Linked DNA regions of Sus scrofa. The protein of the gene in region 2 binds, or shares a complex with, the protein of the main gene of each other region. Links are inferred from orthologs where the notes say so. Each region holds a gene or a part of one and is shown on either strand. Other genes may lie near its edges.

Evidence for each region.
Region 1: MCM7 (region 2) and GINS4 share a complex: the UniProt entries of both Homo sapiens proteins name them as parts of the CMG helicase complex. The link is inferred for Sus scrofa from reciprocal best matches to the Homo sapiens genes MCM7 and GINS4.
Region 3: MCM7 (region 2) and GINS1 share a complex: the UniProt entries of both Homo sapiens proteins name them as parts of the CMG helicase complex. The link is inferred for Sus scrofa from reciprocal best matches to the Homo sapiens genes MCM7 and GINS1.
Region 4: MCM7 (region 2) and CDC45 share a complex: the UniProt entries of both Homo sapiens proteins name them as parts of the CMG helicase complex. The link is inferred for Sus scrofa from reciprocal best matches to the Homo sapiens genes MCM7 and CDC45.
Region 5: MCM7 (region 2) and DONSON share a complex: the UniProt entries of both Homo sapiens proteins name them as parts of the replisome complex. The link is inferred for Sus scrofa from reciprocal best matches to the Homo sapiens genes MCM7 and DONSON.

The regions. Positions count from the first base shown.
Region 1 is NC_010459.5:10,658,784-10,664,736, reverse strand, and holds part of GINS4 (DNA replication complex GINS protein SLD5), read right to left. Parts: intron 3,208-5,953; coding exon 3,121-3,207; intron 1,498-3,120; coding exon 1,384-1,497; intron 1-1,383. UniProt on the Homo sapiens protein: Required for correct functioning of the GINS complex, a complex that plays an essential role in the initiation of DNA replication, and progression of DNA replication forks.
Region 2 is NC_010445.4:8,005,390-8,010,671, forward strand, and holds the end of MCM7 (DNA replication licensing factor MCM7), read right to left. Parts: coding exon 5,193-5,282; intron 4,901-5,192; coding exon 4,751-4,900; intron 4,551-4,750; coding exon 4,436-4,550; intron 4,348-4,435; coding exon 4,216-4,347; intron 4,041-4,215; coding exon 3,957-4,040; intron 3,694-3,956; coding exon 3,300-3,693; intron 2,952-3,299; coding exon 2,868-2,951; intron 2,098-2,867; coding exon 1,929-2,097; intron 1,172-1,928; coding exon 1,062-1,171; intron 872-1,061; coding exon 670-871; 3' UTR 501-669; downstream 1-500. Other genes in the region: COPS6 (COP9 signalosome complex subunit 6), read left to right, coding at 1-135. UniProt on the Homo sapiens protein: Acts as a component of the MCM2-7 complex (MCM complex) which is the replicative helicase essential for 'once per cell cycle' DNA replication initiation and elongation in eukaryotic cells.
Region 3 is NC_010459.5:31,065,446-31,071,398, reverse strand, and holds part of GINS1 (DNA replication complex GINS protein PSF1), read right to left. Parts: intron 2,141-5,953; coding exon 2,042-2,140; intron 993-2,041; coding exon 902-992; intron 1-901. UniProt on the Homo sapiens protein: Required for correct functioning of the GINS complex, a complex that plays an essential role in the initiation of DNA replication, and progression of DNA replication forks.
Region 4 is NC_010456.5:51,138,022-51,143,974, reverse strand, and holds part of CDC45 (cell division control protein 45 homolog), read right to left. Parts: intron 2,844-5,953; coding exon 2,785-2,843; intron 1,581-2,784; coding exon 1,532-1,580; intron 693-1,531; coding exon 631-692; intron 19-630; coding exon 1-18. UniProt on the Homo sapiens protein: Required for initiation of chromosomal DNA replication. Core component of CDC45-MCM-GINS (CMG) helicase, the molecular machine that unwinds template DNA during replication, and around which the replisome is built.
Region 5 is NC_010455.5:197,196,626-197,202,578, forward strand, and holds part of DONSON (protein downstream neighbor of Son), read right to left. Parts: intron 4,385-5,953; coding exon 4,181-4,384; intron 2,467-4,180; coding exon 2,288-2,466; intron 1,462-2,287; coding exon 1,283-1,461; intron 404-1,282; coding exon 322-403; intron 207-321; coding exon 102-206; intron 1-101. UniProt on the Homo sapiens protein: Replisome component that maintains genome stability by protecting stalled or damaged replication forks.

The DNA.
Region 1 (5,953 bases), on a different chromosome or scaffold from region 2:
TCCGTTGGGGAACTACTCCTCGCAAGCAGGGTCAGGACGACAGTGAGGAGGAGCCGAGGGCGGAGATCAAGGAGGTCTGATCCTTCCCTAGTGGTGCAAGGGGTTAAGGATCTGGCACTGTCACTGCAGTGGCTCAGGTTTGACTCCTGGCCTGAGAACTTCCACGTTACGGGTACAGCCAAAAAATAAATCAAGCCATGCAAACACTTGGGGATGACAGCATGGGGTAATAACAATAATTTTAAAACTTCAGAAGAGATTTATGTTCACGGAGAGGCAGAATGAGCCCGCAAGTGCTACGTGATGCTGGGCAGCATCACCACCAATCCAACAGTCTAACATCCAGGATAAAGGAAGTGGTCAGCCCGTCTTTCACCAAAGTGACCAAATGACAGTGAGAATTCTGTGCTCCATTGAGGGTGGGATAATTTAGGAAGATTGTGGACAAACCTTTTCAGGGAAGAGAAGAGGAGAAAATAAAGGCCGAAATGTTCAGCTAGAGGACTCTGATGAGCCCGGGGAGCTGCTGTCAGATCTCTGCGGCGCTCTCACGTGGAAGAGGGTACGGGTGATCCCTGAATGCCTCTGGGGTTGCGGGGTGGGGGGGGCACCTTCAACCCTGTACAGTCAAAGCCTGTGAATAACTTTACTGTTGGCCCCTGCATCCAAAGTCCTGTGACCGCAGATTCAAGTGAAAAAATTCTGCCTACAGGTGGACCATGCAGTTCAGACCCATATTGTTAAAGAAGCAAATGTGTTTGCTTTGTAATAACTCAGAGGACAAGTGGAACCAAAGGAGAAGCAGCTTCAAAGAAGTAAGAACGTTCCAGGATTAAAAGAGACACGATACAAAATCAGGATGTCTTGCAGTTTCATTTTTATAAGTTAGGTGGCCGCAGAGACTGCGTTAAATGTCATTATTGTGGTGCACTTGACACTGACTGAATGACAGATGCAAAAGAGTTCTTAAAACTAGTTCTCCTTGGGAGTTTCCTGGTGGCCAGGGGATTAAAGGTCTGGCATGGGCACTGCTGTGGTGCTGTGGTTTGATCCCTGGCCTGGAAATTTCTGCATGCCACAGGCATGCCCCCCCCCAAAAAAAAACCCAAACAAAAAACCCCCAAACCATCTAGTTCCCTTCTTCAGTATTCTTTGTTCTACCAATGCAAATTCCACCCATAATGCTGCCACAGGGCCACTCCATGGGGCGCCATCGAGCAGCAGTCAGACTAACACCGTCCCTGGATCTGCGATGTGGGTGACACCCAGGAACGATGTCTGGCCCTCCTCACTTTGGCCCCCCGCTGTGGGGCCCCAGGGCATCTCCAGGCTGCACCCTCCCAGCTCCTCCCTAGGATGGGCTGCAGGGAGCCCTTGGCAAACCTTCATGAGCCGACACCGCAGGTAGCTGCTCAGGACAAAGCGGATCCTCTCCATCTCCATCTGATGGATGCTGACCTTCAGGTCCCCCTTCTTGGCTCTCCTGAGATTTTCCTCCTATTAACAGAGAACATGAGGGGCGCTCCCTTCGTGGCTCATCAGTTAACGATTCTGATGAGGATCCATGAGGATGTGGGTTCAATCCCTGGCCTTGCTCAGTAGGTTAAGGATCCAGTGTTGTGAGCTGTGGTGTAGGTCGCAGTCTCGGCTCCGATCCTGTGCTGCTGTGGCTGTGGCGAAGGGTGGTGGCTGCTGCTCCATTGTGACCCCTAGCCTAGGAACCTCTATATGCTGCAGGTGTGGCCCTAAAAAGCAAAACAAACAAACAGAACAAAAACAGAGAACATGAAGTCTGTAAAAAAGCATGAGCATAGGAGCGTCAAAGGCTAAGCACTTTTTTTGTTCACTGCACGAGGCCCACAAGGACCATCACTGTTGGCAGTGGTGAAGCCACATGCGGTCAGGACAAAGCAACTTGTAAGGGCTCTCATTTTAGTTTCTTAATCACACAGTTATACACGACTACAGTCTTGTTGCAAAAAGTGCAAACAGTACTCTTTTGCTTGTAGAAAATGACCATTTGAGTAGAATCTGAATCTGGGTGGTCAGAAGGGCCCAGAAGAACAACTCAACTGTAAAGGAGATAACACAGCAGAACAGAAGAAAGATCTGAAGGGTCTTTTTCATTTGTTTTATGGCAGCACCCAAGGAATACGGAGGTTCCCAGGCTAGGGACTGAATTGGAGCTACAGTTGCAGGCCTACACCACAGCCACAGCCACACAGGATCCAAATGGCATCTGTGACCTACACCACAGCTCTTAGCAACACCAGATTCTTTTTTTTTTTTTTTTTTTTTTTTTCTTTTTGCCTTTTCTAGGACCACTTCCCGTGGCATATGGAGGTTCCCAGGCTAGGGGTCTAATCAGAGCTGTAGCCACCACCTATGCCACAGCCATAGCAATGCCAGATCCGAGCCGCATCTGCGACCTACACCACAGCTCACAGCAACCCCAGATCCTTAACCCACTGAGCGAGGCCAGGGATCGAACCTGCAACCTCATGGTTCCTAGTCAGATTCATTAACCACTGTGCCACGACAGGAACTCCAACACTGAATTCTTAACTCACTGAGCGAGGCCAGGGGTTGAGCCCACATCCTCATGGATACTAGTTGGGTTCTTAACCCATTGAGCAACAATGGGAACTCCTTTAAGGATGTTAAAAGTAGTGTGAAAACATTAGCCAAGAAACTGTAAAACAGCTACCCTGAGGCTGACAGTGACCAAAGCCGGGCTCATCTAAGCCAAAGGCAACAAACTCAGAGGCCACGGGGCCAGGAGGGTGAGGTACAGCGGAGGAAGGTGGGCGCCCAGGGCCTGGGGCATTGGGGGGCACCTGAAAGGGTGGCCCTTACCCTGCTCTGCTCAGCTGTTCTCATGTACAGACACGGGAGTGGTGTGAACAGGTTTTGAGAAGCCTATATCCATGGGGATTTCATGGGAAGCCAACACTCAGATGTTCCCAGGGGCTCTCACGCTTTGTAAACGTAGATAACTCATTCAGTGTTTAAAACAAAACTAGGCTGGGCCAAACAGGTTTGCTCTCAGAGCACGACCTCTCTCACTCTGCCAACATCCCTCCTAGAGTTGTCCTTTGACCCGAGACAGGCACCTCTTACCATGTGATCCAGCTGTTCCATGACACACTCTACGATTTCAGACTTGTTTTCCAGCAGCTCAGGTGCAAACTTTTCATTCATCCAGGCCTGAAAAAACAATGCCACCCCCCCCACCCCCAACGAAAGAGCATTACTCACAATGGAGCGAAATAACCCTGTGAGTTAGTGCACTCATCCCAAATCACAGCTCCTTCAGCAAAGATGACTGCTGACCAGATGGAAATACTGGAAATGCTTTGAAAACAAGTTATGCTTTTGTTTTTGTTTTTTTGTGGCCGAACCTGTGGCATATGGAAGTTCCCAGGCTAGGGGTCGAATTGGGGCTGCAGCTGCCGGCCTACACCACAGCCACAGCAACAAGGGATCCAAGATACGTCTGTGACCCACAACCCCAGCTCATGGCAATGCTGGATTCTTTTTTTTTTTTTTTTAATCTTTGCCTTTGCCAGGGCCACTCCCTTGACATATGGAGGTTCCCAGGCTAGGGGTCAAATCGGAGTTGTAGCCACCAGCCTACACCACAGCCACAGCAACACGGGATCTGAGCCGTGTCTGCAACCTACACCACAGCTCACGGCAACACCGGATCCTTAACCCTCTGAGCAAGGCCAGGGATTGAACCCGCAACCTCATGGTTCCTAGTCGGATTCGTTAACCACTGAGCCACGACAGGAACTCCTAATGTTGGATTCCTAACCCACTGAGCAAGGCCAGGGATTGAACCCGCATCCTCATGGATATTAGTTGGGTTCTTTACCTACCTAGCCACAACGGGAAATGTTTAACTATATTTAGCTATGTTTAATGATGGCTTTTTAATTTCTTTTAGTGGGCGGGCTGTGTTCACGACCTTTTATTCAACCAGCATTATCAGGAAAAAAAAAAAAAATCACCATTCACTTTGAAATGTTGGCAGCATACCTCCTGCTAAGAATAACCCTACCTGGTAGCCAGAGGGTGCGCTTTACCAAGAAGCAGCACCTTTCTACTCTTCCTGCTACTGTCCACCAGGGGCACCAGCACCCCTCTATTCTGGGAGGAGACGTGGTAAATCTACAGTCTCTTACTGAAGCTCAGAGCACTTCACGCTTTCCTACTCATCATTATACTCATCTGAGAAGTGGGTACGGTTATTTGTACCTTACTCATGAGAAACGGAGATGAAGTTGTTAGTCCAAGAGTATAAAAGGTCACAATAGATATGGAAATTCTGCCACTACAGAGTTTGGGAATGAGACGGTCAATTCCTCATTTATGATTCAGGTCCAGACACTTGGTACCTTTCAGAAATTATCAAGGCTTAGGGAACTAAAACAGGGGACTGAGGAAATCTTGCAATCACAGGGGATTTCGCTTTAGCATAGCTCAGAATTACAGGCCAAGCAGCCTCCATTTATTCCTTCTGACATCCTTGCATCTCTGCTTCTCCAACATCACCATCTGGACATGTTATTAAGTATCAGGTATTGCTACTATCATTTTTTCCAGGTGCTCAAAATTTTATAATAGTATTGCAGATATATAGAATTAACCAGAAAGACCATCTTGTATTTTCTTTCTTTTTTATGGCTGCATGTTAGTTAGTTCCCAGGCCAGGGACTGAACCTGCACCTCCACAGTGACCTGGCCTGCTGCAGTCAGATTCTTAACCCACTGTACCACAGTGGGAACTCTGAGACGTCCTGTATTTTCAAGGAGCAGAATTTGTGAAAAAAAGATCAAATTATCAGAGGACTTATAAAGCAGGAATTTTTATTTCCTTTTTATTCAATAGGTACAAAAATACACACAAGGAGTTCCCACTGTGGCTCAGCGGGTTGCGAATTTGACTAGTATCCACGAGGATGTAGGTTCAATCCCTGGCCTCATTCGACGGGTTAAGGATCCGGTGTTGCCATGAGCTGTGGTGAAGGTCACAGACGTGGCTCGGATCCCAAGTTGCTGTGGCTGTGGTGTAGGTGGGCAGCTGTAGCTCCGATTTGACCCACAGCCTGGGAACTTCCATATGCCATGGGCGTGTCTCTCAAAAGATTAAAAAAAAAAAAAAAAAAAGCTCTGATATAAAAACAAATTAAGAATTCACTGCAATATGGTCAGAATTCTCATAGAAAATATAATTTCAAAATTACCTTCTTGGGTTTTGTCACTCATGATGGCATTTAGGGTAGGAGAGCACAAAGAATGCTAAAGCTTGGGAGTTCCCGTTGTGGCACAGCAGAAATGAATCCAACTAGGAACCATGAGGTTGCGGTTTCGATCCCTGGCCTCGCTCATTGGGTTAAGGATCTGGCATTGCCGTGAACTGTGGTGTAGGTCGCAGACGGGGCTCGGATGTGGCGTTGCTGTGGCTCTGGCATAGGCCAGCGGCTACAGCTCTGATTAGACCCCTAGCCTGGGAACCTCCATATGCCACAAGTATGGCCCTAAAAAGACAAAAAAAGAAAAAAATAAATAATGCTAAAGCAACAAACATGAGAGAGTTCTGCAAAGGGGCAGTTAAAGTGGGAAAGAAAAAGCAGTGACTGCAGTGGATCAGAGACCGGGTTCATATCCTGGCTCTGCTGCCAGTGCATGACCTTGGCCAGTTATGTGTGTTAATCTCGAAGCCTCAGTGTCCTCATTTGTAAAATGGAGGTAATACCTGCCCCGATGGGCTGCTGTAAGGACTATTACCACTCGCAGCTAACACCCAGCGAGTGCTCAGCATGCATCAGACAGCACTCTGAGCACTTCCCACATGTTATCTCGTTTAATCCTCACAACAACTCTGCGAGGCTACCATTATTAACTCCACTTGACAGCTGAGAAAGTGCTGCAGACAAACTGTCCAACT
Region 2 (5,282 bases):
AATGACGTGGGACTCATGGCCTACCTAGGCACCATCACCAAAACGTGCAATACCATGAACCAGTTCGTGAACAAGTTCAACGTCCTCTATGACCGACAAGGCATCGGCAGGCGGATGCGGGGGCTCTTCTTCTGACAAGAGGGTACTTGAAGGGGTGATGCACCAGGGTCGGACAACTGTCAAGGGGAGGGGTGCTCTACTCCCTTTAGAGAAACCAGTCACTAATAAAGGGGAGCAGCCCCTCAGCACCCCTTCTGGTGGCTCTGTCCTCTCTGTTAGGTACCACACAGGTCTCTCATCTTGGATCTTGAGGCCTTGACCCTGCGGGCACCGTATTGCCAAGGGGTGGCTTCTCTCTTACTGCAGCCTTGTGTGCTCCCTACAGTGTGATACATGCCTGAACCCTAGGAGGCAGAGGTACTAGTGGCCATACCTTTTTTTGAGACTAAGTGGCTGGGTAAGACAACTATGAGTAAGGTGAATCTTGAAAACTTGCAAAATTCTGTTTTAACAGAAGGCAGCAAATCTACACACTTTATTAGCAAAAGGAATGAATACAAGTGCAGCTGGGCCTCTCCCCACCCCCCAGGGCATCATTAGGCCTTTAAAGGAAGGGGGGTTAGCACGGTAAGCCCAGTAGACAGACCCCAGTGTCTCAAGAGGTCGGAATCAGACAAAAGTGATCCGGGTCCGGGCGGTATTGACCTGCCAGACGTTTAGCTCCTCATACTCATCTAGGGCTGCCTGGAACTGAGCAGGTGTGAAGCCCCGAGATATGCAGCGCTGCTCTGCCTCAGAAAATCGGACACTTCGGCCCTCTGAAACCAACTCACGGACAGTGGCAAATATCACATCTGCCGGTCTCTGAGTCCTGGAGGAAACAAGCATGGGTGTGTAAGGCCAGGGTGTAACCAGAACAGCCAGTATCTGAACAGCGGTGGTCAGTGTTAGGGGTCTAAAGACCTGAGACCAGCATCACAGATATGGGATGCAGAAGTCACAGGATAACTGTTCTACTCAAGGTCAAGGCAACTCCGGACATCCTGCACTAAGCCACTCACCTAGCTGTCTGGCCCTTGTCACCCAGAAGCGAGTCCTTGGACATCTCCATCAGCCTTATGGCTTCGTTCACGTCTTCCTTCTCCACAGTGTCCACCATCCGCAGACGCGCCTAAGGGGAAGGTAGGGAGAGATGGGAACGGAGGAGGTGATGGAACAAAGTCAGGGACACCCCCCCCCGACTCCAGTTTTAAGATTGGCAACCCACATGTTCCCGCTCATAAATGCGTAGAGGCTCTGCCCCTCCCGCCAAACATCCGCAGTGTGGGGCCGGCACTGTCAGACCGAGACAAGTGCAATGCCCAGGGCAGCGTCCAGCAATTGCCCAAGTCTCCGCCTCTCAACACTGGCCAGTCCCGGTGTTCAGCTGTCCTGTGAGGGAGACCAGACCCTTCGGAACTCCACTGGGCTCCCCACCATGACAGATGGAGCTTGGGAGCTCAGCCAAGAAGGCGATGGGCAGAGGTTGCGCCCCTGGGGCTCGGGAAGTGCTAGCTCAGCAGTAGGTTAGGTTATCACACTACCTGCACGAACAGCACTTTGGAGCCCCCAGGACTAAGGTCCAAGGTGAGGGTGGGTTTCTAGCACAGGATCTAGGACACAGGGAGTGAAGTGAACCCCACCCGCCTCCTCGGTGAGGTCTGAGAAGCAGGGAGAAGGCCTTTCCCTCCAGGACGCTGTGCGTGCCCTGCTGGAGCAGCAAGTACCCACAGTGCGGTAGCACGGAGAGGACCACTATCTGCACTGTCAGCACTTTAGCCCCGGCAGGGCCTGGGAGGGAGGGAGGAGGCAGCGAGGGTGCGTTAAGGCAGGCTGCCCAGTAAGAGCCCAAACAGACCATCCTCCAGTGCAAGAGAGACGGCACTCACCAGCGCCGTGGACAGTCGCAGGATAGCCAGCAGGGTCCGGGCGGAAGTGTACGTGGCATCCTTACTAGCCCAGGCCTCTCGCCGCATCTCCACGTATGCGGCGGTGATGTAGTCAGCCAGGGACTCGGGCACGGTGGGCTGCTTCTCCCGGCACATGGCTATGTAACGCCTGTGGGAAAGGAGAGATGGCAGGGTGTGTTTTTTCCGTATTAAGTTTTACCTTTAAGAAAACTCTTGGGGGTAGATGTACTTATAAGTAGGAAAAACAAATTAATGTTGCTTGCTTAAAAATCACTCGTTTCTCCAAGTGTCACATTTCAAATTACTCCCAACTTAAAATTAGGCCCTGCCCCTCCTGCCAAACATCCGCAGTGTGGGGCTGGCACTGTCAGCCAGAGACAAAAGTCAGGAAGGGCCCAAAGGAAAATGGTTTTTGCGTAAGACAAATCCACCTGTCTTAAGAGATGGTGAAGTCCTCTCCTTTAGCCATGTCACATGTTAACTTCAGGAAAATAGATAAAATACCTAGAGCTCTTGGGCAGACTCTGTGGAGAAAACAGTGCTATCAAGTATCCCAAGTTCCCACAGTGGTGCAGCAGGTGAAATGATCTGTTGTGTCTGTGGAGACACAGGTCTGATTCCCAGCCCCTTGCGGTGTGTTGCCACAGCTGTGGCTTGGGATTTGGTCTCAAGCACTTCCATATACTATGGGTGTGGCTCCCAAAAGAAAAATATCCATGCAGCAGGATCCAGCTTTGCCTAAAATCTGAACCCCTCTCAGCCCTGAGACAGGTAGGTGATGCAAGTGGTAGGAAAGGCAAGCTCTATGCGATGGTCTCCTGTGGCCAAGCAGGGGAACCCCAGGACAGAGAGAGATGCACACACTGCCACACACACAGCGAGTGGGGAACGACACCAGTCCTCACCCAGCTCTCCTACCTCATAAGCTTCATATCCAAAGGTTCAAACTGGGCAGGGGGCTGCCGGCTGTGCTGGTGCACGTAGGTGATGTGCTGGGCCAACCTGGAAGAGGGGAGGCAAGTATGAACACTTTTTTCGGTGATCCGCACTGTACCCCAAGCCTACATCTTACTCTCTCAGCTCTGTGTGTCACAGCCCAGCAGAGACAAACTTTCTCAGAAAATGATCATCTGCATTTCAACCCTGACCCACCCTGAGAACTGGACCAGCCCCTTCTGCAAGAGGGAAATGCTCCAGTTTCCATGGGCTGACGAGGAGGTTTCCAATCCCCCGCCCCCAGAGGGTGTAACTGAGGGGTGGCTCCTTGGCTGTTGTGCTGCGAATATTCCCCCGCCCCCAGAGGGTGTAACTGAGGGGTGGCTCCTTGGCTGTTGTGCTGCGAATATTCACCTCAAGTCATTGTCTCGGTCAGGCCGGTCCTGGATTAGCCAGAGGAGGTCAAATCGGGAGAGCAGAGCCGCAGGAAGCTGTATGTTCTGCTCCAGGCTCCGGCGAGGGTTGTAGCGTCCGTAGGCAGGGTTGGCAGCAGCCAGGATAGAGCAGCGGGCATTAAGTGTTGTGAGAATGCCTGCCTTGGCAATGGAGATGGTTTGCTGCTCCATGACCTCGTGGATGGCTGTGCGGTCAGCTTCCGCCATCTTGTCAAACTCATCAATGCAGCAGACGCCCTGGTCGGCCAGCACGAGGGCGCCACCCTCCAAGGTCAGCTCTCCACTCACGGAGTCTCTCAGCACGGCGGCCGTGAGCCCCACTCCCGAGGAACCTCGGCCTGTTGTGTACTGGCCTGAACAAAAGGGGCAGGAAGAGAGGAAGTTAGCAGCTGTGTTTAAGAAGAGGGCAAAGGAAAGAAGGAAGGGGGCCAGTGAGGCGAGGCCTGCCCGACCGCTCCGCTGACCCAGCCAGGCCTGCCCGAGGCAGCTGCAGATCCGCGACGTGGTGGCGCTGATCACATCTCCACCCCCCAACCCCTCCCAGAAGAGCACAAACACGGAACGAGGTGGTCCTACTCCTGTCCTCGGGCTTGCCTCCCAGGGTCTGAGAACTCACTGCGGGGGGCCAGGCGATCAATGTAAGACAGGAGCTGAGACTTGGCCACTCCAGGATCCCCCATCAGACAGATGTTGATGTTGCCTGGAGGAAGGAGGCCCCCGAGTGACTTTTCTTTCAATCCAAGTTGTCCGAAAACAACACTTTCAAGGTCTGCCCCCCATGCCCCCCGTGCCCGTGAAGCCGAGGCAGGCTTATTCTATGGCCTGTGGACGCTGGAAGGTCCTTACCCTTCTTCCTCCCAAATGCCTCCACTCACCCCTGATCTTCATGCCTCGAGGAGACTGGTCCACCCCTCCCACCAGCAGGAGCAGCAGTGCCTTCTTCACGTCTTCATGGCCGTATATTTCCGGGGCAATGGAGGCTGCCAGCTTTTCATAGAAATCCTCCTCTGTGGGAAAAAGAAGACTAAGTATTTTCTGGGAGAAAAAAACTGCTAGGGAGAAATTTGGATCCCAGTCTTTCCCCTGACCCCTCACCTGCGATTTGTCTCAGTTCTTCCCTGCTCAACTCTCCAGCCCCAGACTCATCATCCTCACTCTTACTCATCTTCACAATCCGATGGGCTTCCAGGTAAGTTTCTGAGAGTAAACCCTTGAGCAGGAAAACACCAGGGTATGAATGAAGCGCCTTTAACTTGCCCTTCCATGTGAGTCCCTGAGGAGTTCCTGACAGAACCCTCTGTTCTGCTTTGTTTGGTATTCTGTTGCTTGCTGTCACTCTTCTCTGTGGGGCTGTTAAAGAGTGAGGAGATGAGAAAAAAGGAACCACCACCTCATTTTCAACTTTCTCACCTGGACCACCTGTCGGAACCCGGTGCGCAGGATCGGCAAGAAGATACCGGTGACACTGACATGATCCCCAGGCTGGGCGATCCTCGTGTTCTCTCCTTCCACCAGCACTGTGATGCTGCGAGGGATGTTTCCCACGGGCACTTGGTCACTCTGGGGAAGAAGGGTCCATGAGGCCTGCCTTTCTCTCCTTATACACACTATGGCCACTTCTTGGTCTGCTTAGCCTCAAGCAAGCTGACAAGAGGAAAACTAGGCTTTTTTTTAAAACTCTTCCCAACTCAGAAAGTTCCAGTTAAACCCCGTCCTGCTCTCACTGACTTCTCTGCCTCGACTCTCCCCTTTTGTTCTACTTTCTTTCTTATGCTTCTGAACGACTACAAGAATCAAACGGACTCCCAAGCTCCCCCTTCCCTGAGCCCCAGACCACATCCCCCAAACTCACATGTTCTTGCATCTTCATCTCCTGGAATTTGATGAATTTGGAGCCACGTGTCTGAAGATACAGTCGCCCTCCTGAGCGGTTGGTCTGGCA
Region 3 (5,953 bases), on a different chromosome or scaffold from region 2:
AAGTACGTACACACAAATTTTATGGAAAATCCCCAAATAACAATGCCTGTTTTTTTTTTTTGTTTTTTTTGTTTGTTTTTTTTTTTTGTCTTTTGTCTTTTGTCTTTTTTTGTTGTTGTTGTTGTTGTTGTTGCTGCTATTTCTTGGGCCGCTCCCACGGCATATGGAGATTCCCAGGCTAGGGGTCGAATCGGAGCTGTAGCCACCGGCCTACGCCAGAGCCACAGCAACGCGGGATCCGAGCCGTGTCTGCAATCTACACCACAGCTCACGGCAACGCCAGATCGTTAACCCACTGAGCAAGGGCAGGGACCGAACCCGCAACCTCATGGTTCCTAGTCGGATTCGTTAACCACTGCGCCACGACGGGAACTCCAACAATGCCTGTTTTTTTAATCCTACTGATGGATCAATAACAAGTAACATAATGAGATCCTATATTTGTCTTTCTTTTTTTTGTTATTGGTCTTTTTGGGGCTGCACCCACAGCATATGGAGGTTCCCATGCTAGGGGTCAAATCAGAGCTGTAGCTGCTAGCCTACACCACAGCCACAGCAACTCAGGATCCAAGCTGAGTCTGTGACCTACACCACAGCTCACAGCAACACTGGATCATTAACCCACTGGAGCAAGGCCAGGGATTGAACTAGCATCCTCATGGATACTAGTTGGGTTTGTTGAGCCAGGACAGGAACTCTCCGAGACCCTTTATTTTGATAAGAGTTTTCCATATATTATTTAGGATTATTCCTGCCATTCTTTCTCAGTATAAACTAAAGACCTAAAACTACTGAAAAACAAATGTGAGAAACACTGTAGATACTATTACACAACAATGCCAGAACCTCAGCCAGTTTCCAAATTCATAAGCTTGAACAACAGTGCTAACTTATAACTTACTTCTTCAGCAGACATGTGAAATCGTAAAGCATTTGGCAAGACACTGCCATACTCCCACCTGAGTGCTCTAATCCGAAGCAATCGGTCATACCTAGGACGTTAACAAGGTATTAGATGGCATAACAGAAGGGATATCAGAAGTTGTTTTGATCAGGAGAGACTCAAGACTCACAACCACTGAAATGTAACGCGGAATTTTATTTGGCTCCTGAGGCAGACAAACCACTTGTCATGTCATGTGACATCTTTGGGGCAATGGGGAAAACAGGCATACAGACTGGACAGATGCTGTGCAGGCATGTTCATTTCTCTAGGAATGATAATGGCACAATGGTCCTATGAGAAAAGTCCATAGGTCCTTATTTCTTGGAGATGCATACTAAAATATTCAGTGGTAAAATGCCCAAAGTTCTACAGTGGTTTAGCAGACAAAACAAGATGAAGCAGTTATGGCAAAATGTTAAGAACTATTAAACCTATATGATGGCTTCATGGGGATCTGTAATAATATTTCCCAGTTCTACGAATACTGTAATTTTTCACAATAAAAAGTGTTTAAATGGGAGTTCCCGCTGTGGCGCAGTGGGTTAAGAATCCAACTGCAGCAGCTTGGGTTGTTTTGGAGGCACAGGGTTTGATCCCCAGCCCAGGGCAGTGGGTTAAAGGAGCCAGCACTGCCACAACTAAGGCACAGGTCACAGCTGTGGCTCAGATCCAATCCCTGGCCCAGGAACTTCCATATGCCATGGGGGTGGCCATTCAAAAAAAAAGTTTAAATGGAAAAAAGAGAAGAATTTAGAATGCTTATAAAAGACAAATCTAAGAGGACTTCCTGCTGTGGCACAGCAGAAACAAATCTGACTGGTAACCATGAAGTTGCAGGTTTGATCACTGGCCTCACTCAGTGGGTTAAGGATCTGGCATTGCCATGAGCTATGGTGTAGGTTGCAGATGCGGCTCGGATCCCTCGTTGCTGTGACTGTGGCATAGGCTGGAGGCTGTAGCCCTGGGAAACTCCATATGCTACAGGTGTGGCCCTAAAAAGCTTAAAAAAAAAAAAGACAAATGTAAGAATTTGTTCCCCACCTGAAATGTTTAATTAGGAAACCACATGGCACCCCAGCAAACAGAGACACTCACAAGTATGCTATAGTGCAGCGCTGGTTTCTCAACAAAGAACAGTGTCGAAACTTGATGGTTGGTATCAAATCACTTCGTCCACCTGACTTCGCTTCATTCCTGGTAAAACATTTAAGGAGGAAATGAATATCTAATTCAGTATAAGTAGAATTTTCAAAGCCCACTGACAACTGACTCCATGCTTGTTTTCATCCACTTATGTGTAGGTTAACCTACACAAACAGCAACTGCCTCCACATCAGAGCTTCTGCTAACACACTAAAAGATAAAAAAGCCAAATCTAACTAATTTGCCTAGGACCTGTTTAGCCATGTGGCACTTTGTGTTTTCACACTGATTAATCTTTGTCTCCAAAAGATAAGCATCATGTTTCTTCACTTTCTGGGTATCTCTTTTTTAAGCTGGGATAAGAGAGCAAGTATCATGGTGCCTAAGATTACAGCCTCATGTCTTGTTTGGTTTTTTTTTTTTTCTTTTGTCTTTTTAGGGCTGCACCTGTGGCATATGGAGGTTCCCAGGCTAGGGGTCAAATTGGAGCTGTAGCTGCTGGCCTACATCACAGCTCACAACAACGCCAGATACTTAACCCACTGAGCGAGGCCAGGGATCAAACCCGCAACCTCATGATTCCTAGTGGGATTCGTTTCCGATGTGCCACAACGGGAACTCCTCCTATCTCGTTCTCATTCTATGGAGTCCTCTTTTCGTGATACTTCCAAATCTTCATTCTAAGAAAGTGAGCTAAGAATTCTAGACTCAAATGGTCCTCCACTCAACCAACAAATTTTTCTTTTTTTCTTTTTTTAAGGGCTGCACCCACAGCATATGGAAGTTCCCAGACTAGGGGTTGAGTCGGAGCTGTAGCTGGCAGCCTACACCATAGCCACAGCAACGTGGGATCTGACCCACATCTGCGACCTACACCACAGCTCACAGCAATGAAACTGTGTCCTCATGGATACTAGTCGGGTTTGTTAACCACTGGGCCACGACAGGAACTCCTAACAAATATTTCCTGATCTTCAACTACGTGTATGTTCTGTACTTCAGGGTCCTTTACATAAAGAGGGAGAAAATTTTGGTTTTACCCTATGAAATAGACATCTCCGTAGATATTAGACAAGCATCACATTTTATTTATTTATTTATTTATTTATTTATTTATTTATTTATTTATTTGCTTTTTAGGGCCGCACCTGCGGCATATGGAGGATCCCAGGCTAGGGGCAAATCAGAGCTATAGCTGCCAACCTACACCACAGCCATAGCAATGTAGGATCTGAACCTCATCTGTGACCTACACCACAGCTCACAGCAACACTGGATCTTTAACCCACTGATTGAGGTCAGGAATCAAACCTGCAACCTCATGGTTGGATTCGTTTCTTCTGCACCACAGCAGGAACTCCAAGTATCATATTTTAAAACCAGATAGGAGACCCCACTGTGGCACAGGGGGTTAATGATCCGGCATTGTCTTTGTGGCAGCATCAGTTTGATCCCTGGCCTGGGAACTTCCATATGCTATGGGTGCAGTAAAAAAAAAAAAAAGAAAGAAAAAGAAACAGATGTACAGGAGTTCCCATCGTGGCTCAGTGGGAACAAACCTGACTAGTATCCATGAAGGCACAGGTTCCATCCCTGGCCTTAGTGGGCCAAGGATGCAGCATTGCTGTGAGCTATGGCATAGCTTTGCAGATGTGGCTTGGATCCCAAGTTGCCTTGGCTGAGGTGTAGGCCCACAGCTATAGCTGCTATTCGACGCCTAGCCTGGAAACCTCCATATCCCACGGGTGCAGCCCTAAAAAGACAAAAAAAAAAAAAAAGTTAAGGTGGCAAATTCTATGTAATGTATATTTTCCACAATAAAAAAGGGAGGGGGAACAAAGCCAGATGTGCAGAATGAGTAAGAATCTACTTTGGAGGGTTTTTTTTTCCTTTTTATGGCCCCGCTACAGCATATGGAAGTTCCCAGGCCAGGGGTAGAATTGAAGCTGCAGCTGCAGGCCATAGCCACAGCCACATCAGATCCTATACTGGAGTTTGCGGCAATGCCAGATCCCGAACCCAATGAGCAAGGCCAGGGATCGAACACACATGCTCACAAAGACTAGGTTGAGTTCTTAACCTACTGAGCCATAACGGGAACTCCTACTTTGGAGTTTTAAAAGGAACCAGATGAATACAAAATGCATGTGCCTGCTCCAGGCCCTGAAAACAGAGGCAAAACCTATGTCCCATCTCATCACATCTTCTAGATCTGTTCTAGACACTTCTGCCACTCTATGAATGTTGGGTTATAAAGAAATAGTACAAATAAAATACACCCAACCTGGAGTTCCCATCGTGGCTCGGTGGTTAACGAATCCGACTAGGAACTATGCGGTTTCAGGTTCGATCACCTTGCTCAGTGAGATAAGGATCCAGTGTTGCCATGAGCTATGGTGTAGGTCACAGACGAGGCTCGGATCTGGTGTTGCTGTGGCTCTGGCGTAGGCCGGCGGCTACAGCTCCGATTCGACCCCTAGCCTGGGAACCTCCATATGCCTTGGGTGCAGCCCTAGAAAAGGCGAAAAGACAAAAAATAAAATAAAATAAAATACACCCAATCTAACATCAGAGTACCTTACTGAGTATATAAGAACTTTCTGAAAAAAAATTCACATTTATACATGTGTAATTAAATAGGAATAGATTTCGTTTGACAAATAATTCTAAGTAGAAATAGTGGTAATAGTGATTGCCCCCCTAGAAAGAAACTAGGGGGGTAGGGCACAGAACTTGGATCATGAATTTCCAAATGGTATGAATACAGGAAAATCATTCCCTTACCAGACAAAGGCCTGTTAGGCTACCTCCTAAATATGTCTGGAACCTGTTCACTTTTTCCCTGGTCGGCTCACCTCTCCTGTCACTAGCATGTCCAGCACACCTCCCTCTCCTCTCAGCCACTCTGTCCACTACTCACATAGTAGCCAGGATGGTCTTTTAAAACACAAACCTGCCATCACCTGCCTCACGTGCTTGATCTCCCCTGGTGTCACCCTTTGCCTACTCACTAAACTTCAGCCACACTGGCCTTCTTTAAGGATCATTCCCTGAGCATCCCATGCTTCCATGACTCTGGGCCTCTGTATATGCTGTTTCCTCCACCTAGAATACTGTCTGTCCACAATGATTGCCTCACTAAAATCTGCTTCTCCTTCAGGCCCCAGCTGAAGTGTCTCTTCCTTGGAGAGAACATCCCTGATTCTTTTGTCTACTAATATTTTCAATTCATTATTCTCTCTCCTGGTGTTGTTTTCCTTCTTAGCTTGTATTCCAATTTGGTGTATATCTGCCTTCTGCATTACACTGTGAGGGCTATAGGGGCAGAAATCTTGATTATGCTGTTTACGATTGAAACACCAGATCCAGAGTTCCCATTGTGGCGCAGCAGAAATGAATCCAACTAGGAACCATGAGGTTGTGGGTTCAATCCCTGGCCTCGCTCAGCGGGTCACGGATCCAGTGTTGCTGTAAGCCACAGTGTAGGGGGCACACGTGGCTCAGATCTGGTGTTGCTGTGGCTGTGGTGTAGGCCGGCGGCTACTTCTCCAATTAGACCCCTAGCCTGGAAACCTTCATATGCTATGGGTGCGGCCCTAAAAAGACAAAAACAAACACCAGATCCGCTTGTTAGCTCATAATTGCTTAGTACATACTTGTTGAATGAACACATGAATGGCTTGGGAACCTGAGTTCAGGACTTTATATTTCCCTTACATTTGCTGCAGACCTGTTGCAGTTCGGTTCCTCATTCCAACTGTACCTATCAAACACAATAACTAGAAAATGCTCCTGTTCTGTGTGTTCCACGAATCTTACTAGCATGCTATTGAGGTCTATGTCCAAGTGACTGATGAAAATACT
Region 4 (5,953 bases), on a different chromosome or scaffold from region 2:
AGTCCAACGATGGCCCACCTGGAAGGAGATGAGATGGAGTCTTGAACAGGGCAGGTGGTACTGTGTGACCTGACCCAGACACTCTATCAGACCAGCAGTCTCACCCTGCGGAGCAGACAGGTGACCGGGCTCCCACTGGGTTGTCACCACTGTGGGCATGCTCAGTACCCAGGAGGGAGATCCCCTATGACAAGGGCAGCAGGCCCCCACACCTGCGTCCTGACTCGCCTGGCTGCAGGCTACCCTCTCTGGCACAGGGTGACAGCACCTTTGGGCCTTGGCGTGGCCAGTGCCAGGCCCTGTCCCAGCCCCCTGCCATTTTGGGGCTCTGACTCAACACAGACTGTCACAGTCCCCACTGGAGGTGGTCAGGGCCAGGAACCTCACCAGACTGTCACCTTGCAGAGGAGAAAATTGGGACCCAGGGCAGAGGGCTGGGAGGGCCAGAACTACTGCCCCTGGCTCAGGCTCTGCAGGTTCAGTCCCCAGTCAACCCACCTTCAGATGCCACAGTGCGCTGAGTGTGGCAGACTCAGAGGTGGGCCAATGGTTACCCCTACACCAGATTTCACCTGGTGTGGGAGGACAGGGCTATGCAGAGAAAGTTGTGCCCCGACTGGGGCCACGCACCACAGCATGTCGCTCAGGTCCTTAGACATCATCCACGCCAGGTCGAACATCAACATGGCCGACTGCAAGGAAGAGAAGCCTGAGGCCAAAGTGGCCGAGCTCATGGCAGGGCCAGACCCACACTCCCAGGCCCAGGTCCCTGTAAAGAGGTCTCCCGACAGGGCGGTCTATAAATGGAAGCGTCCAGCCTCCTCTGAGAAGATGGTCTGGGTTCCAGAAGGAGACCAGGAGATCAGCGTCCGACCAGGAGACCCTAAAGCCCTGTCTGCAGTGAGACACTGGCCTGACTTCAGCATCTCCAAGGAAACTGGTTTCCAAGAGAGCTTCCCAGCCATGCATCTGTTTCCACCCGTGAACCCACCTACAGCTCAGAATCCTCCCGCCAAGGGCAAACCAATCTCAAAAGGGGTTCTGAAGTACCTGCTCAGAGGCCAAGGCCCCAGGTCAAATTCTGAGACTAAATACAGGATTTTTACTAGAACCACTTTCTAGGTCCCCTTAAGGCCCTGAGCTCTGCTCAGCAGCACAAGAATCAACCCACTGGGTTTTCTGATGAAAATCCTAACACACAAATCAAGTTTCATCTTCTTGCACAGAAATCAGCGCAGGCTCGTTCTGTTTTTTGATGATGAACAGAAAGAGTGGCTGCTGTTCCCTGAGCACCTCTGAGTGTGAGAGGCCATCCCAACAACTGCCTTTGAAGTGAGGCCTGCTATCTCCCTTTTTCCCAGGAGGAGAGGCTAAGAGCAGATCCTCCCCTCAGGCCACAGGGTGGAAGCTGCAGGCTTGGATTTAAACCAGTCCTCGGGGGCTCTAAAACCTCTGCTGATTCCTCCTCCTCTTTTAGGACAGTGCCCCCTAGAGTCCGGACATGGCAGTGAATCCCGGGATCTGGACTTACTGACGTCCCGTGGTATTCGTACTGTTCGTAGTCAAAAAGGATGTCTCTTCTGTAAAGACACAAAAGTAGGTCTTCAACAGGAAGCAGAATAGGAAAACAAACAGTGGGAAAAATGCTAGAATGGACGATACTCAAAGAAACCCAAACGAAATCATTTGTTTTCACTTATTGACTCTTCCAAGGACTGAAAGTGTACAGCATTGGGAAGGGAGTGACCGGGGCACAAACCTTGTGTGGCTACCAAAGATGTAAAATGGCACAGTCCCAGATTCCACTCCCCACAAGAAGTTAAGGCAAGACAGCAGTTCAAAGGGACAAGCCAGACAGGCCTCGCGGTGTGCAAGGTTGTTTGCTTCAGCCTGACAGTCACCGCAGAACACTGAAAGCAACCTCCAGCTCACAAAGAAGGGGAAGGCCAGTTCGGCACCGTGCACTTTACAAAGGCCTGTGGAGATTTCCGAACTATGGTTCTATTACGTGGAAAAGTGCAAAATTAGGTGTGATGATGTAAAACGTGCACAAGCACAGACAACCCCGGGCAGATCAATCCAAAGCTGGAACCTCTTCCTATTAGTGAAAATGGATTATATTCACTTTTCTTTCCTGCACTTCCCCAAATGATTTTACAACCAGCCTCCCCAAGTGGGGCTGACAGGGGCACGCCCTTAGATGGAGCAGCAGGGCAGGGGCTGGACACTCAGACACCCACGAGGCCTTATAGGGATGCAATTAGCAGGGAATTCCCAGCAAGCGCACTGCTGCATGTTCACCTTGAGCTAGAGTATCCTCTCCAACATTTTCATTTAAAGCACTTGAGTTTTTTAACTTGCAATATGAAGAGGAACTATGGATAGCTTAGTTTTCTTTTCAATTTTTTTTCTATGAGGAGTTTCATACAATTCCATCTATTGAATTTGTAAAGAAAAGTATCTAGATTTAGAAAACTATTAAAACGAGGGACCAGGGCTGTCATCCCTAACAGATGGCAGGTGTTGGGAGCTCTTGAGCCCAGCCCATCACTCATGGGACATGAAGGTGACATGGAGGGTCCCTGAGCTTTTCCCCAATGCAGGGGCCACATGCTCAGTCCTAGAGACACTGGCCCAAAGGCTCTAAACTCAACACATTATCCTAAAATGGAAAAAAAAAATGCACAAAGCCCCCAAGGAAAAGCCAGGCATATCAGTGATACTCACCCCACCCCCCACCCCCAGCTGTCCCGCAGGCAGGGCTGCTGATGGAAGGACCCTCACCTGCGGGCCTCCCACTCTCTTCGTTGCCTCCTCTTCATGGTTCGCTCCACGATTTCCTGATATAGGACAAAGAGAACAAAAGGTGAGCCAAGGAGTTTGGCTGAGAAGGATCCAATTTGTCAGAAGCCACTGAGGGTACAGCCTGCCCCTGGTGGGACGGCAGGGCCCCTCAGCCCCGTGGCCACTGTGGATGGGATTGGACGCTTCCCCAGCATCTGCTTAGGTGACACCCCAGATCCACTGTCCCAGTACCATGTGAGCCACAAAAAGCCCACAGCTGCCACGTCCCCGCTTTCCCACCATGTTAGAAAGAACTCACGGGGAGTTCCTGTCATGGCTCAGCGGTAATGAACCTGACCAGGATCCATGAGGATGTGGGTTTGATCCCTGGCCTTGCTCAGTGGGTTAAGGATCTGGTGTTGCCATGAGCTGCAGTGTAGGTCACAGATGCAGCGGAGCTGCATTGCTGTGGCTGTGGCTGGCAGCTACAGCTCCAATTCGACCCCTAGCCTGGGAACCTCCATATACTGCAGGTGCAGCCCTAAAAAGCAAAAAAAAAAAAAAAAAGAGAGCGCTCCTATTCCTCACATCCTAACCCCACTGTTTCCAGCAACTATTCTAATTTTACAGGCACAACCTCTTTCTCTTCCCACAATAAAGGCACAGGTGAGGGCGCAGTTTTAAAATCTGTAGTCTCTAGACTTCTGCTTGTAGAAGGATAGGTAGATGTATTTGTCTCTATTCATACACTAAATGTACCTAGAAATCCTGGTAGTGCATATTTAAAAAAAGAAAAGAGTCTGAAAGGTGGAGAGGAAGGCTGACCAGCCAAGGGTCCCAGGACCTGGGAATGTCACAGTAGGGAGTTCCCAGAGTTTTCCTTTTTGTTCATATATTCCAGAGAAGCTGGCCACACAGAAACACCGATAGAAGAAAAAATCCCCAACAAAAGCCAAAGAACCAGGAAGGACCGGCCTTGAAAGAGAAAACTTTTAGAGGATAACTGCTCAACTCTAACTGCACCACCACCAGAAACACCATGGTCCCACCCCATCCACCACAGCAAAGGCCCAGTGCCCCTCCCTACCTCCCACCAGGGTGGGGTCAGAGGGCAGGTATGGTGCCCAGTGCTAAGAAGGAGCCACACTCCTCAGGGAGAAACTGGGTCATCACAGATTGCTGGTCAGAAGGTAACATGGTACAGACACTCTGGGAAAGTTTGGCAGCTTCTTAAAAAACTGAACATATTAACTACCACAGAAGCCAACAAATGCACTCTTAGTCATCCATTCCAGGGAAATGAAGATTCATGTTCACACAAACCTGCACACAAATGTTTATAGCAGCTCTCTTCACAATAGCCGGAAATGAGATAGCCCAGATGCCCGTCAGGGAGTATATGGCTAAACAAACCGAGGTGGGTCCACACCATGGAACAAACTCAGAAACAAAAGGGAAGCAACTTGGAGTTCCCGTCATAGCTCAGTGGTTAGCGAACATGACTAGTATCCATAAGGATTTGGGCTCGATCCCTGGACCTGCTCAGTGGGTTAAGGATCCAGTGTTGCTGTGAGTTGTGGTGTAGGTCACAGACACGGCTCAGATCCAGTGTCACTGTGGCTCTGGTGTAGGCCGGTGGCTACAGCTCCGATTGGACCCCTAGCCTGGGAACCTCCATATGCTGCGCATGAGGCCTTAGAAAAGACAAAAAAAAAAAAAGGGCAAGGAGGTGTTCTCGTTGTGGCGCAGCGGAAACGAATCCGACTAGGAACCATGAGGTTGTGGGTTCGATCCCTGGTCTCGCTCAGTGGGTTAAGGATCCAGTGTTGCTGTGGTATAGGTCTCAGACTTGGCTCGGATCTGGCGTTGCTGTGGCTGTGGTTTAGGCCGGGAGCTGCAGCTCCAATTCAATCCCTAGCCTGGGAACCTCCATGTGCTTCAGGTGTCCCCCCCCCGCAAAAAGGCAAGCCATGGTCCTGAGGGAACTTTTGGAGGGTGATGGAACTCTTCTGTTCTCTGTCGTGACATGACTTTACACATTGTCAAATCTCATCAGATTAGACCTAGAGAAATTTATTGTGTAGAAGTTAAATGTCAGTAAAGCTGATTAACAAAACCCCCACGGTCCAAGGATTCTTTGACCCTCCCCAGAGCGCACAGTAGGGTCCTGTCCCCTTCCCTTGTGGCTGTGGGACACTGTGGGACCCCAAGCCTGGGCAGGAGGGCTCACACAGCTCACTAGCAAAAAACCAAACAAGTAAAAAAATGGGCAGAAAACTAAAACAGACATTTCTCCAAAGAAGACAGACAGATGACCAACAAGCACATGAAAAAATGTTCAACATCACTAATTATTAGAGAAATGCAAATGCAAATCAAAACTACTTCACTCCAGGGAGAATGGCCATCATCAAAAAGTCTATAAATAACAAATGCTGGAGAGGGTGTGGAGAAGAGGGAACTCTCCTGCACTGTTGGTGGGAATGTAAATTGGTACAACCACTCTGGAAAACAGTACCGAAGTCCCTTAAAAAACTAAAAATAAAATTCCCGCGGTGGTGCAGTGTGTTAAGAATCCGACCGCTCAGGTTGCTGCAGAGGTGTGGTTCGATCCCTGGCCTGGCCAAAAAAACTAAAAATAAAGCTACCATATGATCCAGCAATATCGCTCCTGGGCATTTACCTAAGAAAACCATGATTTGAAAAGATACATGCATCCCTGTATTCACTGCAGCACTATTCACAATACCTAAGACATGGAAGCAATCTAAATGTCCATCAACAGAGATATGAATAAAGAATATGTCGTGTATTTATGCAATGGGATACTACTCAGCCACAGAAATAATGCAATTTACAGCAACATGGTGGACCTAGAGATCACCATACAGGTGAGATAAGCCAGACAGAGAAAGACAGAAATCATATACCACTTATATGTGGAATCTGCACATAACAAATGAACAGAGAAAATAAACACAAACTCATGGATACAGAGATCTGCTACTGGGGCGGGGGGTGGGGGTGGGGGGCAGGGACGAGGGTGAAGGGAACCGGGATCTACCATATGGTGGCGGCTGGTACTAGACTTGGGGTGGTGAGCACTTTGCAGTGTGTGCAGATGTTGGACTATAATGCTGTACCCCTGAAGCTTGTAGTAAAAAGAAAG
Region 5 (5,953 bases), on a different chromosome or scaffold from region 2:
ATTTGAGATTACAGTCTAACAAAACTGCCAGTTACTATTACATTGCTCACTAACTTAATTCAATGAAAGTCAATTCTGGTTAACGGCAACCGAAAGGATACAGCTTGATAGAAAGTACATCTGGTTTTTTAATTTTATCTTGCACACCCATCTCTTCCAGCCAGGAAAAACTTTCTTCTTCATCCTCATCGCTGACTGCTTGCCCCCTAGGAAATTTCTATAGTTAGTTAGGGTCTGCATTTCATAAAGATGTTTCTTTTTCAAAACTACTGAATCCATTAAGTCACCAGATGATGTGAAAAGGTTGTTTTAAGCACATACTCCCCATGTCCTAAGCCTGTTCCAGATGCCTCCTTCTTCTCATGGCCATTTTCTTTTATTAAAGGCAGAGAAAATTCAATACCTACACGAGGAAAGAAAAATGTAACTGAGTTTTAACATAACCTAGAAGAATTTAATAAGCGTGCTGGGAGAATACGATATTTAAAAATGAGTTTTAATGAGTTCCCTTTGTGGCTCAGTGGTTAACGAATCCGACTAGACACATGAAGTTGCAGGTTAGATCCCTGGCCTTGCTCAGTGGGTTAAGTAAGGATCTGGCATTGCCGTGAGCTGTGGTGTAGGTTGCAGACAAGGCTCGGATCCCAAGATGCTGTGGCTCTGGCGTAGGCCGGGGGCTGCAGCTGATTAGACCCCTAGCCTGGGAAGCTCCATATGCTGCGGGACCGGCCCTAGAAAAGGTAAGAAAAAAAAAAAAAAAAAAGAAAAAAAATGAGTTTTTACACTTGATCTATTAAAGCAGATCACTTTCATACTGTCTTGACAGCAGCTCACGACACACACATATCTCCTTGAAACACAAGGTTTTTAGGAAACAATACACATTCTCACGACAGGTGGTACCCTTTCATCAAGTATATTCTTCTCACTTTCATTTTTTTTAAAGTGTTGAATAAGCACACTAAGTAGATTTCATAATCCACTAATGAGTTGACCCAGTTTAAAGACCATGTTATTGAAAGGGGAGAGGTTATTTGTACTATAAAAAAATTTCTATAGGAGCATATGCAGATTAGGATTTTCCAGCTCAATCTATGTTTGAAGATTGGAGAAGGAACATCGCTACCTTAAAGCTATGTATAAAGGACAGCTTAATTAAATGCCAAAAAACTAATTCTTAAAATAATTAGATAAAACTAGTAAAAGACATTTCAAATTTTAGCTTTTAAGGAAAGTGTTTACTATATAGTGTGGTATTTTCACTTTAAATGTATAGTTTTACCTTCGGTTTTCATAGCTTCTCTGATACCTCTAGTGGTAGGAGATATAAGGGCTGTCATGACATCATTTCCTGCTAATCCTGCTGCACGGAACAGGATAGTAAACTGATAGGTACAAACGTAGAAATAGGGGCAAAGTTTTGTCTTCAGCAGATTATATAGAGAAGTTAAGCTCACAGACCTATGAAGCAAAAAATTTTTAAGTATTACTAAATATTTAACTTAACATCTAAAATTTAATTTTGCATAATTTAATCTGATGTCTGATTTAAAACACAAATATTACAGACAATGGTTTGACTTTTTGCCATGACACAGAACTTGGCTTTTTAAAGGACTGAAATTGGTCATGGGACTCACTGATGACTTAAAAATTTCTTTTTTTGAAATGCTGTGAACTTTTTATTTAACTATAACTACATAGCACAAGTCATAAGTTTATCACTCTGTGAATTTTCACAAACTGAATACACTGATGATCAGCACCCAGGTTAAGAAAAGATCCTTGGAGTTCTGATCATGGCTCAGTAGTAACACATCCGACTGTATCCATGAGGATGCAGGTTTGATCCCTGGGGTCGCTCAGTGGGTTAAGGATCCGACAATGCCATGAGCTGCGATGTAGGTCACAGACGTGGCTTGGATCTGACGTTGCCGTGGCTGTGCTGCAGGCTGGTAGCTCCGGCTGATTCAACCGCCAGCCTGGGAACTTCCATAAGCCGCAAGTGTGGCCCTAAAAAGCCAAAAAAAAAAAAAGAGGAATTACGCCTACATATTTAACACACACTTATATACATGCCAGAACTACATAAAGAGTGAGAGAATAAGGGCTGAAAAAGTAAATAACTTACATGCTGGTTATTAACAGTTTAAATAAAATAATTCCCTCTACTACTACACACCTCTAAGTCATAAATAAGAAGAGAACACTGCTAAAATGAAAATTCACTCTTTGGTTGCACAAGTTTTTGGGTTTTTTTTTTTTTTTTTTTTTTAACTAATCTTACCAGTCACTCAGTAAATTGTGTTGCAGGGTTTCATCATTTGACCAAGGGTTTGCCTTTCCAGCCATTTTTCTGTCAGCTCCAATACGAGGGAACAGTGGGAGCCATGGGAAGGCAGGGTGGATCCAATAAATAAGGCTCTGCTGGAAGGCGCAACGGAGCTCAGTGCAGAGTTTGGGATCCTAAAATCCAGGGAGGATATTGGACAGTTTTTGCCCCATTAGTAACAGAGAATTTAATTAAAAAGACACTGAATACACCAAACACTATTCTCAGAATCTTTGCTGCTTCCTATAGGAACACGTTAATAACTGTTACAGGGGCTAAAATGTAATTTATTATTGTTTAGGAAAAGGGGCCTTACTTGCCAGCAATTAGTCTGTTAAACCACATATCAGAAGGAGCACTCAGACATAGACGGAATACTTGCCTGCCTCTACCATCCTCTTAACAATGACTGCCTCTTTTTATCAGGAGGGCAATAGTGTGTGTTTGGGGGGGTATGTGTGTAGGTAACACTATGTTCAACCCCCTTCCCTCACTACATTGTTTCAAAAGGAGCCAGTAAAACCCGATACTGTGAATCACCAATCATCCCCATCTATTTATTGAAAAAGACATACCAGGCCCTCTTTCGGAAAATCTCTTTTAAGTTAATTTGAGGTGATGAGCTGCCTGAAAGTAATGCAATTATATTACTTTAAAACCATTCTAGGAAGTTCCCGTTGTAGCTCAGTGGTAACGGGCCCCACTAGTATCCATGAGGATGTGGGTTTGATCCACGGCCTTGCTCTGTGGGTTAAGGATCTGGCATTGCCACGAGCTGTGGGATAGTTTGCAGACATGGCTCGGATCCCACACTGCTGTGGCTGTGGCCAGCAGCTGTAGCCCCGATTTGACCCCCTAGCCAGGAAACTTCCATATGCTGCAGGTGCGGTCCTAAAAGCAAAAATAGAATAAAATAAAACCATCCTAGATCTAGCTCACTGACTCTAAATTTACAACAGACTATCACCCAGGTCATAAGAATTAGTGTGTTAAAAAAATACATATACATTATGTGAGAAAATCAGTAAAATAACCAATCAGTTTTTGCAATCCTATTCCTCAATTGCTTTTCATTTCTTTTTCATTTTTCATTCTTTTCATTTCTTTTTCATTTTCATTTTCTTTCTCAAAAGGCCTTAGAAAACAATGGTTTAGTTCAAGCAACTCTTGCCTGCCAACAATGAATAATACTCACAACAGGTCTATAAATTTAACGGGCAGCTATTGAATCTGATTTTTGAAACTGTATGAAAGCATCATTTGGGAAATAAAATATTTTCCAAGTTCCTGTGTTTTTAAATGTCAACAGAAAAACTTAATGGAAAGAAATATCTCTGCTGTTTCGCAGAGAAGTACACTGTACACTTAATTTGTTACTTTTTTTTTAACTTTTTTTTTTTTTTGGTCTTTTTGCCTTTTCTAGGGCCACTCCTGCGGCATATGGAGGTTCCCAGGCAAGGGGGCTAATTGGAGCTGTAGCCACTGGCCTACGCCAGAGCCACAGCAATGCGGGATCTGAGCCGCATCTGCAACCTACACTACAGCTAATGGCAACGCCGGATCAAGGCCAGGGATCGAACCCGAAACCTCATGGTTCCCAGTTGGATTCGTTAACCACTGCGCCACAACAGGAACTCCCTTAAATTGTTACTTTAAAACACAGCTGTTTTCCTTGTGATGGAACATGATAGAGGATAATGTGAGAAAAAGAATGACTACCTCTATGTATGACTGGGTCACTCTGCTATACAGCAGAAATTAACAGAACATTGAAAACCAACTATAACAGAAAAAATAAAACTCTTTAAAAAAATAAAAAATAAAACATGGCTGTTTTCTTTCAGTTACCTGAATACTTTGAGGCAAAGTGACTTCTGTTGCCCTACAATGCTGGATGACACCTTGAGCCTCTTCCTGTGCTTTCAAATGATCTGCCCAGGTAAAGGGTTGAGAAGAGGTAAAAAGGAGTCGAGTTTTAATACTCCAGTCCACAGGTAACTCAGTACTTTCTGAGGATGGAATATCAGATTCGGAGAATGATACATGAGGAATCTTTCAGAAAACAAAGAAAACAAAACTTAGAAAAAGGGTACCAAGAAAGAAGCCCTCCCATCTATAAAATTCATCAACTAAAATACAATCCGTGAAACTTCAAAATGTTATGTATTATACAATAAATAACATTGAAAATACACTCACACTGTGAAGAGGTATGGAAACAATAAACCTTTAACACTGCTTACCTCTGGAAAATGGGATTTTTTTTGTTGTTGTTGGGGGGTGGTACTGGATGCACAGTTTTCATTTTTTAGTTTATTATAGTTCTATATAGTTTAGTTACAAGAGACAAGTACTATTTTCATAATCATCATTTTTAAAAAAAATCCACTATAAAATAGTATTATCAAAGCAGAAATCTTCCAAGTATTTTTTCTTAATTTTTTAAATCTTTGGGGCTGCACCCTCGGCATGTGGAGGTTCCTGGGCTAGGGATCAAACCTGCGCCTCTGCAGCTGCTCGAGCCGCTGTAGTTGGATTCTTAACCCAATGCACCACATCGGGAACTCCTCCAAGTATTTTTTAAAAAGCATCCTTTAAGCTTCTAAAACTCTGGAACCAGGGCAAAGCTGCTCTTGCAGGTAACTTAGGTTGGGTTCCAGGAGGCCATATTTAAGATACATTTCCCAACCTCAAATATTCCTCCCCAACTGTTTTGCTGTCAAATCAGTATTCTCCACATTACAGTGATTCTCTTAGATGACATTATTAAAAAAAATAATAAGGAAGAGGAGGCAATTTCCAAGAGACCCTGTGAAGACCATTTATTTGCAAGGAAAGGAGACTGGGTCTTGGGGAACTCTTCTTGTCTGCTCCCATTAGGACAAACTATGTATTTGTTAAAGTATCACGAAAGTAGCTGAGGAACGGAATCAAGAAGAGTGTTTTGGGAGTTCCCTTTGTGGCTCAGCCATTAACGAATCCAACTATGATCCATGAGGATGCCTGTTTGATCCCTGGCCCAGCTCAAGGGGGTTAAGGATCCAGCATTGCCATGGGCTGTGGTGTAGGTGGAAGATGAAGTTTGGACCCGGCTGGCTGGGGCTGTGGTATAGGCCAGCAGCTGCAGCTCCAATTCCACCCCTAACCTGGGAACCTCCATGTGCCACCGGTGTGGTCCTAAATTAGGAAAAAAAAAAGAAAAAAAAAAAAGAAAGCAAGCAAAGAGTGTTTTGTGTGCGTGGTGGTGGTATCGAGGTTCAGTGATATGCCACAACTGTGTTGCTAATCTGGGGATTTGGTCTGAAGATTCAGTGAAGGATTAAAAGTTAAAAAAGCAGCGAAGCCTGGAGAGGTTAGCTCTGAGTGATGAGCTAGACTTCTTAACTACCTACAGAAGAGTTAGAAAACTACAGGGGTGAAAGGAAAACGCACATTTATGCCTAGTTTAGCACTGGCGCTGTTATAAAGAAAACTACCACACACAAAGCCTTGAGTCCTTTACCATCATTTCAGTCCTGGTGGAGATGATCACTCTCTGTGCAGCCATTTTTCAAGTAAAATGCTTCTGAGAAGTATGGATTGATATTATAAGAATATACACTCTGAGGACATTTAAAAAGT